3 linked regions of the Xenopus tropicalis genome follow. The protein of the gene in region 3 purifies or fractionates together with the protein of the main gene of each other region. This does not show direct contact. Links are inferred from orthologs where the notes say so. Each region holds a gene or a part of one and is shown on either strand. Other genes may lie near its edges.

Region 1 (4,032 bases), on a different chromosome or scaffold from region 3:
GGATCCTAACACTTTTTTTTTTTAGGTGTTACAGTCTGAACTCTACAGCCCAAGTCACAAGGGTGCTCAGGAAGCTGTGTTGCTGCTCATTTACCCCTAAGGCTAATGCCAGAAGTGGCGTTTTTACGCTGCGTATTTTCTCCGCCTAAAAACGCCACACAGCCCCTGACTATGGCGTTTTTCAGCCTAGTACTGGTGACGCAGCAAATCCCGTTTCCATGGTGCTAATAGTGCGAAATAGTAAAAACGCCGCCTATTTCCGCTAGGTCTGGCAGCTGCCTTTGTGTATACATAGGAATAGCTTGCTGTGCAAATACTGGCGTATTTCGGCCAACGCTTGAAAAATCCGTGCTAAGGCGTTTTGTATGGTATTTACGCATAGTGTGGTTTCCATCGAGACTGTTTAAGTTATTTCTACGGATGATGATATCGTGCGTTTTTCAGCCGCCGAGAGAATTAGAAAATACGCAGCGTAAAAACGCCACGTGTGGCATCAGCCTAAGAGCATGCAGCCATTTGCAGAGTCCTCCTTACCTGGGCTAGGTATTTCTGGGGCTGAAGAATGAGGGGATTTGGGGAGCAATTATAGGACAAGAGAGAGATGGACCTTTGGGAAGGGCATCATAAAGGGACTCTGGAATTCCACCCAAATATCTATGGGAAGCCCAGGGGCTTGGTGATTGGCTCATTCAGAGTTAACCCTGTGCTTGTTGATGTGAAAGCCTTTGGCTAGTTGCAGCCTGGGCAAGCCTCAGCTGGAGGATCGCTCCTAGGTCTCTCACAGTTCCAAGCAGGTGTCCCCCAACCCCTGTGAATAGGAGGCATTTTCTCTATAGCCCCCCACTGAGTAAAGTTTCACACATTCTCTCACATGCAAGGAAAGGCACAAAGTCCGCCCGGGTACCGTAACCAATAACAACCAATAAGGTTTGCTTTTACAGGAGGCAAGTAAAAGGTCATTTTTGATTGGTTGGTACAAGTGGGACCCAGCGCACACCTTGCACCTTTCTCAGCTCCATTGATTGTAAGATTCCCAGCCATAGCCATGTCAGAGGGAAATACTACAGATACTCAGCCCCGGGGGGGTGCCAGTAGTGTAATCAGCATGATTAAACCCGATTAAACCCGATTAATCCCCGCAAGCCTATTCCCATTGCCGCATCTCACAAACACTCCGCCAAGCAGACACACACCAGCCGGTACTATAGCCCCGCCTTTCCTTCATTCCCCGCCCCTAAACCATTCCGCCCGGCTGGTGACGTCACTTCCGGAATCTCCGGCTCTCCATTCTCTTTAGTGTTTGCCGTGTCCGAGTCTCCCCCCTTCCTCTTTCCGCCGGTCTCCTGGTACCGAGCCCCCGCTTCACTACATGGACTAGGGTGTGAGCGCCTTCCCTTCCACTCCCGGGCACACAGCAGGGACGAAGACAGAGAGAAGGTGAGCCAGCGGGGCTGGGTGGGAGCGGGGCTGGGTGGGAGCAGGCCCACTGGCAGGGGGGAGGGAGCGCCTACTGGGCAGGGACTTTGCAAAGCGCTGGGGCGTCTGGGAAATTGTTGGTCCCCGACTTGGATACTTCTTCTGTACCCACCCCAGTCTCTGTCTCACCCTCCACCCATATTCCTGCCCATTGTGCCCTTTGCACCCATACACCTGCTCACTATGCCCACTGAGCCCAAATCCCTGCCCACTGTGCCCTCAGCGCCCAAACCCCTGCCCACTGTGCCCTCAGTGCCCAAACCCCTGCCCACTGCGCCCTCAGCGCCCAAACCCCTGCCCACTGCGCCCTCAGCGCCCAAACCCCTGCCCACTGCGCCCTCAGCGCTCAAACCCCTGCCCACTGCGCCCTCAGCGCCCAAACCCCTGCCCACTGGGCCCTCAGCGCCCAAACCCCTACCCACTGCGCCCTCAGCGCCCAAACCCCTACCCACTGTGCCCTCAGCGCCCAAACCCCTGCCCACCGCGCCATCAGCGCCCAAACCCCTGCCCACTGCGCCCTCAGCGCCCAAACCCCTGCCCACTGCGCCCTCAGCGCCCAAACCCCTGCCCACTGCGCCCTCAGCGCCCAAACCCCTGCCCACTGCGCCCTCAGCGCCCAAACCCCTGCCCACTGCGCCCTCAGCGCCCAAACCCCTGCCCACTGCGCCCTCAGCGCCCAAACCCCTGCCCACTGCGCCCTCAGCGCCCAAACCCCTGCCCACTGCGCCCTCAGCGCCCAAACCCCTGCCCACTGCGCCCTCAGCGCCCAAACCCCTGCCCACTGCGCCCAAACCCCTGCCCACTGCGCCCTCAGCGCCCAAACCCCTGCCCACTGCGCCCTCAGCACCCAAACCCGCGCCCTCAGCGCCCAAACCCCTGCCCACTGCGCCCTCAGCGCCCAAACCCCTGCCCACTGCGCCCTCAGCGCCCAAACCCCTGCACACTGGGCCCTTTGTACCTAGTGCACCCCTGCCCTCACATCCTTCCCCAGTGGCCCCTCTATAGACCCTCTCAATGTTCTTGCTCCCATTGTGCTCCCTGCACCCACATCCTCCATCTGCAGTGTCTCTTGTTATACAGTTCCAATATGCTTTTTAGATGCCGCCCCTGTCTGTGCATTATTACAGTATTCGTACCCATGAGCTTTTTCCCTTCATACATATTTATTGTGCCCCCCGTACTGTCCATACCCTGTGTGCCTCCTGCTCTCTACATACCCACTGTGCCATTAAAGCTGCTGCCCCCCTCTGTACCTATCCAGTGTGCCCTCTGAACCAACATACCTGTGTAATGCGCCTCCATATTTAGTAAACTCTTTGCACCCCTATTCCAAATACCCCACTTTATAGTGCGTCTCACCTAGTGAGTGTGTCCGGTTCTGTGCTCCCCATTTCCGACACCCACTGCACACATTTCCCTGAGGTGGTGCGTTACATTATACGCTACATGCACAGCAATTACCATATTAAAGGCAAAGTAGAACCACCTCATACAAACACACAGTGATCTGTCAGCGCGAGGACAAGCTCCTGTGTAGTTCTGCCCTATGGGTGCCCTTCTACTGCTTTACCCAGACTTATAGGGGATATGAACCCAAAATGACACAATGCACAATTTGCTTAATTAACAAAAATGCCATTCTAAGCCACTTTCCAATATACATTCTTTAAAACCATTGTCAAGTTCTTTGCAAATGTAATTGCTAATAATGCATTTCTCTGTCCCATTCTGCACTGTAGCAGAAGTTCTTCTCAGCTGGTCTGGGTCAAAAGTCAGAATCAGCCGAGCAGAGAATATAAACAGCCAGACACACACTGCTTTCACTAGCACCTATATTTAGAGAACTTCAGAACAACTGAAGCTTGGTGTTTCATGTGTATTGGAAAGTATTTACATTTTCTATCCTTAAGCAAAAAGGCAACATATATAAAAAAAAGCAATTGGATAATTGCAAACTTCCCCTTGCTTTTTAAACATTGGGTAAGGGGACCTCTCGTCACCGCTTGCACAGTGTTTCCCATTGCAGCAACTCGCAGTGCCGCTGTGCTTATGGCTACATAGGCAGAACCCTTGCTCCCAAATGTATCTTTTTTTTTTTGTTGTTAATATAAAAAAGGGGAAATTCACGGTACAGTTTAGTTTTAGTTTGCAATCTTCCCTATTTTTATGAATTTTGGAAATCAACTCACTGACCCCCTCAGACAAAACCGTGTCTGAATAATCGTAATTTAATTTAACAAAAAAAAAAAAATTAGCAAAGACAACTTATGAGTTTTATAGTTGCTGGGGGTTGTTGACCCTAGAAACCAGATGGCTGTTTCTCCCAGCAGCGGTGGAAGAGGGCAAAATTTGATATAAATATGGCAGCAGGGCAGGGAAACGTTTCCAAAAAGTATACGTGAAACCATGGTAGCGGATTTCATGACAGAGGCTTGCGAGTACAACCACCAATAACCAATCAGATCCCTGCTTTCACTTTCTAACTTGGAGTAAGCTGATTGCTAATTGGTTGTAAAGTAATGGTGCATTTGGGTTTGTTAGACAGAAATCCTACAC
Region 2 (3,940 bases), on a different chromosome or scaffold from region 3:
CCTAGGGCCAAACGATTGAATTAACCCGATATTGGGCACCTTAGATGGGAATATCAGGAGAAGAGCCACTTGTTTGGGGAGGTGTATGGCCACCCTTTAGGTATATCTGTTTAAAAACAAACAAACATATATTCCTATGTTTATGTACCTTGTTCCATGTGTAAAGAATGGGGACATATTTCCCCTTTAATGGCTTTAAGGATTGGAAGGAATGTTTATATGAATAGAAACAATTCCCACCAGGTAACTTACTGCCAGTTAGTCCAGCAAAACACCATCAGTTCCCCACAATAAACTGAACCATTAACCCCCTGTGTGCCAGCTTCTCTCCCAGTGCCAGGCCTGCCCAATGTGTGATATTATGGCACTTTGTGGGTCAATGTTACCTCAGCTCTGGGCAGGTAGGGGAAATTACCCACAATGCATTGCCTTACAGACAGGGCAGATAATGAGCGATCACTGCCATGTGAGGGGCAATAGATTGAGAGCTTGTAGCCCAGGAACTGCAGGGGGAGGGGCTAACATGTAGTACAGTTGGGGCACATGTATTACTCCTTATGGGTGAAGCTACTAGTGGGTGCATGGCTACAGGCCCAGGGGCCATATCACATTACAATGGCCAAACTTCATTTATTGTATGTGGCTGGGCGCCATATTCCATCTGTTGTGAGTAAATTGCCCTGTCACGCCGCTCAGCGAGTTGACTGACAGTCGGCCAACCTCAGAATTTGTTTCTCTTTTGTGCGGCTTCTTCCTGGTGACACGCCCCCTTTTCCGTTTTTTGACCAATCCCAGTCGGCCAGACGCGCAGTTGCTAGGAGTTAGTAGGACAGACGCGGTAGGCTCCTTCATTGCAGTGCGCCTTCATCTTTACGGACCAATCAGAAGCGGCGGCCGGGTAGGACGCTAGAGGCGTGGCCTATATCCCATCATTCCTTGCTCATCACCCGTCAGTTCTGGGCCCCGCTGATTGGTTGCAGTATTAAGACGCAAGCGCAGACGGCGGACAGTGATGCTGCACTTTACCCTCCTGTGTGTGTAAGCCCCGCCCAGCCGCCGGCGCTCCTCCTCCTTTCCCTCGGTCAGTCACACAGTGAAAGCGAGAGAACGGACAGCGGGGCAGCGAGCGGAGCAGCGAGAGGGAACAGCGGGACTCACAGGCGGGACGGGACCGAAACACCTGATAAGCGGCAGGAACCGAGCGCTCAGTTTCTCCTTACCGGCAGCGGAGCGGCACAGGCCGGACACCGAGCATGGCTTCCGGATCCGAGTGAGTTACCGGGGAGCGGGCTGAGGGGGGTCTGTGGGTGCCGGTGGGACGCCGCCGCCGGGAGCTCCGCCCATTGGCTGGCACAGCGGGACCCGGGGTGTGCGGCCTACTGCGGCCTCCTCATCCTGCTGTGTCATGCACCCCTCACAGCGGCACCTACCGGCAGGACTACAACTCCCAGCATTCCCTGCCAACAGCCGGCCCCAGTGTTATCTGCTGGGAATGGTACCCTGCCTGCCGGGACTGACCTACAGGAAACCTGCCGGGAGAGCCTTGTCTTTTCCAGTGGGTCACCTCTGGCTGCCTTGGGGGATGCTGGGAGTTGTAGTCCAACATCAGGATTAGGGTGCCCTGCCTCTAATATCATCATGTCTGGGGCCCTAGCTGCCCTGGGGGATGCTGGGAATTGTAGGCCACTAGCAGCATGGGTTTATACTGTATGACATTAGTGGGGTACAGGGAGTCTGCAGTAGTACCAGGCCTTGTACAGTGGCTGATCTCCAGCTGCTGTGGGGGATGCTGGGAATTGTAGTCCAACATCAGGATTAGGGTGCCCTGCCTCTAATATCATCATGTCTGGGGCCCTAGCTGCCTTGGGGGATGCTGGGAGTTGTAGTCCAACATCTGGATTAGGATCCCCTGCCTCTAATATCATGTCTGGGGCCCTAGCTGCCTTGGGGGATGCTGGGAATTGTAGTCCAACATCAGGATTAGGGTGCCCTGCCTCTAATATCATCATGACTGGGGCCCTAGCTGCCTTGGGGGATGCTGGGAGTTGTAGTCCAACATCAGGATTAGGGTGCCCTGCCTCTAATATCATGCTTGGGGCCCTAGCCGCCTTGGGGGATGCTGGGAGTTGTAGTCCAACATCAGGATTAGGGTGCCCTGCCTCTAATATCATGCTTGGGGCCCTAGCCGCCTTGGGGGATGCTGGGAGTTGTAGTCCAACATCAGGATTAGGGTGCCCTGCCTCTAATATCATGCTTGGGGCCCTAGCCGCCTTGGGGGATGCTGGGAATTGTAGTCCAACATCAGGATTAGGGTGCCCTGCCTCTAATATCATGTCTGGGGCCCTAGCTGCCTTGGGGGATGCTGGGAATTGTAGTCCAACATCAGGATTAGGGTGCCCTGCCTCTAATATCATCATGACTGGGGCCCTAGCTGCCTTGGGGGATGCTGGGAGTTGTAGTCCAACATCAGGATTAGGGTGCCCTGCCTCTAATATCATGCTTGGGGCCCTAGCCGCCTTGGGGGATGCTGGGAGTTGTAGTCCAACATCAGGATTAGGGTGCCCTGCCTCTAATATCATGCTTGGGGCCCTAGCTGCCTTGGGGGATGCTGGGAGTTGTAGTCCAACATCAGGATTAGGGTGCCCTGCCTCTAATATCATGTCTGGGGGCACTAGCCGCCTTGGGGGATGCTGGGAGTTGTAGGCCACTAGCAGCATGGGTTTATACTGTATGACATTAGTGGGGTACAGGGAGCCTGTAGTAGTACCAGGCCTTGTACAGTGGCTGATCTCCAGCTGCTGTGGGGGATGCTGGGAGTTGTAGTCCAGTCACCGTATCTAGTTGAACGCTGGTTGCTATAGAGAACCTGACATTGGCAACACAGGGTACCCTTTGGGTATAATAGGAGCCATAGCTGGGCATGAGGGTGGGTATCCATGGAAACCTGCCAGAAATGAGGCAACTTGCCGGGAACTCTTATTGGCCCTTTGTCTGCATCCCAATCTGAGCTATGGCTGATGTACCCTATCAAATATGTATAACCCTGCCCATTTGGGCCGCTGGCACACTGCCTGGGTGTGAGTATGTGCCTGTGGCCCAGTGCCAAGGTGCCAGTGGAACTGCTTTATGATGCTGGCACCGGTGCCCACAGCTGCTGGCACTCACAGCATAGAGAGGGGCCGTGCCACCTCATCCTAATCACTGGCCAGTTAGTGGGGTTTGGGCAGGACCTACCCCTGCCATTACAATGGTACGTTCCAGAACAGGCAGTGCAGAGAGATACACCAGGGTTATACCAACTGCAGCTGGGGGGGTTATATCTGTGTGCCCATGCCTATTGGCTGACCCTCGGGCCCCCATGTGCTCTGGGCCTGCTCCCTGCTGGGTCCCTGCGCTTTGCCCAATGAATGGTTCTCCCCTGTCAGCACAAATGCCCCTGCCCCCAGAGGGAACGGCCATGCTAAGCTTTCCTGCCCCTCGTGAGAGAAGCCCCCCCCCCGCACTACAGTCTGACCTTCTGGATCCCCAGCGCCCACCTACCTACCTGCCCCTGGGCTCTTGGGGTGCTCTCCTCCCCTTCTGCTCCACATTTATATAAATCTCTATACATTTGCCCAAACCTGCCCAATATTATATGGAGTAGCCCCCCCATCCCCCCTCCTTGTCCCAACTCTCTTTATAACCGGTGCCAAGCGATACCCTTAGCAACCTGGGTGTTATTATCCCCCCCCCTGAGGTGAGAAGTGGAACTGCAGGAGACTGGAGGAGCCCCACACACACTTGGCTGATAGTGATACCCCATTGGGAGATGCTGATGTATCCAGGATCCCGTACCCTGTGGGTAAATGGCATCTGTGCCCGCTAATTGGCAGGAAATAGGGCTGTACTTCTGGTTCTGACTCTTCAAACAATGTAGCCCTTCCCCAGTTCTGCAGCTGGA
Region 3 (3,851 bases):
ATTTAAGGAGCATTAACCTCTGACAAAATTCTTCATAGAGAGAAGAGAATGATGCTGCAATCTACCAACATTGGCACATAACATGTAATACAAATAATAATAATACAAGTACAAAAATAAATGCACCTCACCTCTGGTGCCAATACAAATGTCTGCATGAATCGACGCATAGGCTGCCTGTTGTTCGACAATTCTCCCATGACTTGCACCACTACGCCATCATTCAGAGTGGCGTGCGCATCAACATGGCGGATCTTTGTGCGGCAATCTTTGAAATTCAAAGACATTACTTTTTTGTGGATGTCCTGCAGAAAAGGAGAAATGATTAGCACAATTTCTTGTGATCTGACTTTGAAATGGTTATGACTTCAAGATATACTTACAGTCTGCCCATAAACAGCCTCTGCAGGTTTTCCATTGGTGTCCAAGCCACCATGAACATAGGAAGAACTTTTTCCATAAAACCTAACAAAAAAAAAAAAGGGAATTCCTTTAAAGGAAAACTATACTCCCAGAACGAATATTTAACCATAACCAACAGATCATATGTGGCCTATTAAAGAAACTTAAACTGATAACGTCGTTTGGCAGATAAAGACACTCTCTGCAGAGTTTTTAGTGATGACAGCCCCCTGGGCAATGAGCCAGGGGGCTGTCATGTTGGCCCTGCGATCATCGTGTCTGCTTCTTGCTCCCAGCTTCCTGGATCCCATAAAACTATATATATTTGGTATTGGCACGTTCAGGAGACATGGGACTTTCCAAATCAGTTGTATTTTTGTGCATAAAATTTTTGTTTCTGGTATGTGTTTATATTATGAAAAATATGATTTTTTTAAATTTTTAGACATTAAGACTAAAAGTTCCCCCGAGGAAAGGCCCCTAAAGTGAAACAGTGCAAAATGTTAAACTGTCTGGCAATACAAGTTCCTCTTTGACCAAAACGGCTGGCAGTGAAAGGGTTAAAAAACTAATAGAAAAATCTGATGTGTAAACTATATGAAAAATTTGCCATCCAACAAGCCACACCCTGTCTGAGGAAAAAGTGCATGCGGCATCTTAATCCGACAAGAAAATATAATTGTGTCTGACAGACTTGTTTCTCATTAAAACACATTGATGGTGAGATGTAGATGCAGGAACAAAACACACCATCTGTCTGAACCGGTTTACATACAGCATGAAAAATGTGCTGAAAAACTCCCCCTCGGCTTATACTCGAGTCGATATACTCGGACACTGTGCTGTTGCGCACGGGGTGGGGTGGGGGGACAGCACAGTGATACTTAGTATGCAGCGTGGATGGGTGCACACACATGGATGGCACGCATGCTGGCATAAACTGAAGCAGGTAATCGGGTAATTGAACACTATCTAAAATTATTTCAATTGTACTTTTTAAGATGATTTTCTAGCCATGGGGCCCTTGCCTTACACCCCAAAAAACAGCCTCTCAGACTCTGCTTGTAACAATTCTAAAGTAGATTTCCATAGCAAAGAGAGAAGTGCGTGCTAAATCAGTATCAAAAAGACTACATACTTTCAAGCACAAGTATGTAGTCTTCTTGATACTGATTATTTTGCGATAAAAGGAGGTTAATCAGAAATCAATGGCATGATTACAAGAAGGCTGTTATTGTGGCATAAACTTAAAGGCAGGAGGGTCAAAGGGTCCTCCATCCACCTTTCCCTAATCACCTTTTCTAATCTGCAGCTGCCAACATGATATATTTATGAAGAGTTCACAGAGGGTCACGCCGAGTGTCCTTTTATTAATTATTTGATTATTGAAACTTAGCAGTAGCGACTGCATTTCCCACCCTAGGCTTATACTCGAGTCAATACGTTTTTCCAGTTCTTAGGTAAAATTAGGTACCTCGGCTTATATTCGGATTGGCTTATACTCGAGTATATACGGTAAATAAATAAGAATAAAAAAAAAATAAAGGTAAAGCTCTACTGTGTAAAACATACCTGTGGAGAAAGTCTGGTGCCTGGTTAAGCAGAGTATAATACTGCCTCACAAATTCCCGCCCGACAAGCAGGGGACTTGGCTTCTCCATCACCATTTCTTTGGTCAACTGAAATCTAAACAAAAATATTAAAAATATAATTTAGGCCAGGTCTGGGGGGAAAAATGGTTTACAAAATGCAAAAATATAATCAAAGCAAATAATATGAAGAAAGCGATTACCATTACTGGCACAACTATAAGGTCTCTGGCCAAACCAAAATACATTCAGTGATTTCATCAAGAAGCCTTGGGCCATCAGATCAGCAAAGTTTAACGCATTGCCAAAGTGCACAACATACCAATGGATTGGCATGACTGAAAGCACTACACAAGCCTTCCAAATCACTTTCATTTTTTGGCGTTACTGTTCCTTTAAGCAAGGGGCATTTTTAGACGGTCCGTCATCTGTTTTAGTGTAGATTTACCTTAGAAGACAAATCTCATGTGCAAGCACGCTGCCAGCACAACGGTAAAACGTTTGCAGACACATAAAAGGTTAAAAGACGAGTCCACACCTGTTAAATTCTATTTTTTTTTTTTTTACAACAAAACTGTTTTAAATCATTGATAACTGAAACAGCTAAAAATTATATGGGCTAATGTTCTATTAGCTATAAAAATGTTATGGCAATAGGTAACTTAAAAGTTGCATGACAAAAGTTTTCTTTTAAGGGACGATACAGCTTAACAAGACTGCACAGGCTTAAGCAACACATTCCATTAGTGTTTTTAAATAGGGAGGGCTAACATTAGAAGTTGCAACACAGCTTCTAACTTAAATGAATACAAGAAGCCTAATGAGCTTATTACAGTTTGTGACTTCAGCATCTCTAAGCCTGCTTGTCACATGGCTCAGATTAATTACTATGTAACCATGCAATAATGGTTGAATTGTTTCTAGCAACAGCATACAAAGACAACAAAATTCCTCTAAAATAACGCCAAGGAAGTCAGGTCAAAAAAGGTGGAAAACACTAAAGCAAAATAAAATAAGATAAGCTACATTACACATTGAAAGCTTAGCCAAGACAAGCATGACTATTAATGGCAACTGGTAATATCTCCTGCTCACATTTCTTAAGACTGCTAGGAATTCGGCGAAAGCCTATACAAATGCAAATTCAAGGAGAAGGCTGGAAAGCTAAATTAAACTACATGTTATAGTTTCTCTAAGAAGGGGCATATTAGGAAAAATGCAGGAAAATTTCTGTAATATGATTAGTAAAATATCCAAGAGAAATCATGATTGACAGTCGAGTATGTGTGATGAAGTCAGCATAACCAATTGCCACCGAACAGCCCCAGGACAATATAACACTGTGGCTGTAATTTTAACATGAAGTTTCTTGAGAAAAGCCCTTCTAAAAATGATAGTTTAAGTGAAGGCACACCTATAGAGATGTATGTAAATAAAATATGGATAATCTCTATTAACCACTTAGCCACAGGGCTGCACAGCAAGCATTTCCTTCAGTATTGTTATAGCTGCAGTGCTTGAGATACTGCTGCCCGGCTCATACACCTCTCCAACCGCTCCTCCTCTGCCATGCCGCTCTGCCAATCCCTGCACTGGCTTCCCCTACCATCCAGGATAAAATTCAAGCTATTGACCCTCACATTTAAAGCAGTCCATAACTCTGCCCCACCCTACATCTCTGAACTCATCTCTAGGTACCATCCAACCCGCTTGTTACGCTCCTCTACTGACCTGCTCCTCAACTCCTCTCTCATTCCCTCCTCACACGCTCGCATTCAAGACTTTGCAAGGGCTGCCCCCCTTCTCTGGAATTCGCTCCCACAAACTGTCAGACTTTCTCCCAATCTCTCTGCCTTCAAG

What was found. The genes of interacting proteins can lie anywhere in the genome.
Region 1: the proteins of g3bp1 (region 3) and stau1 purify together in Homo sapiens (affinity purification with mass spectrometry; 3 studies listed by BioGRID and IntAct, with this or other methods). This does not show direct contact. The link is inferred for Xenopus tropicalis from reciprocal best matches to the Homo sapiens genes G3BP1 and STAU1.
Region 2: the proteins of g3bp1 (region 3) and vcp purify together in Homo sapiens (affinity purification with mass spectrometry; 3 studies listed by BioGRID, with this or other methods). This does not show direct contact. The link is inferred for Xenopus tropicalis from reciprocal best matches to the Homo sapiens genes G3BP1 and VCP.

Annotation. Positions count from the first base shown.
Region 1 is NC_030686.2:38,141,391-38,145,422, forward strand, and holds the start of stau1 (double-stranded RNA-binding protein Staufen homolog 1), read left to right. Parts: upstream 1-1,232; 5' UTR 1,233-1,437; intron 1,438-4,032. UniProt on the Homo sapiens protein: Binds double-stranded RNA (regardless of the sequence) and tubulin.
Region 2 is NC_030677.2:212,825,784-212,829,723, reverse strand, and holds the start of vcp (transitional endoplasmic reticulum ATPase), read left to right. Parts: upstream 1-1,140; 5' UTR 1,141-1,253; coding exon 1,254-1,270; intron 1,271-3,940. UniProt on the Homo sapiens protein: Necessary for the fragmentation of Golgi stacks during mitosis and for their reassembly after mitosis. Involved in the formation of the transitional endoplasmic reticulum (tER).
Region 3 is NC_030679.2:16,830,851-16,834,701, forward strand, and holds part of g3bp1 (ras GTPase-activating protein-binding protein 1), read right to left. Parts: intron 2,089-3,851; coding exon of another isoform or gene 2,070-2,088; coding exon 1,975-2,069; intron 466-1,974; coding exon 384-465; intron 306-383; coding exon 132-305; intron 1-131. UniProt on the Homo sapiens protein: Protein involved in various processes, such as stress granule formation and innate immunity. Plays an essential role in stress granule formation.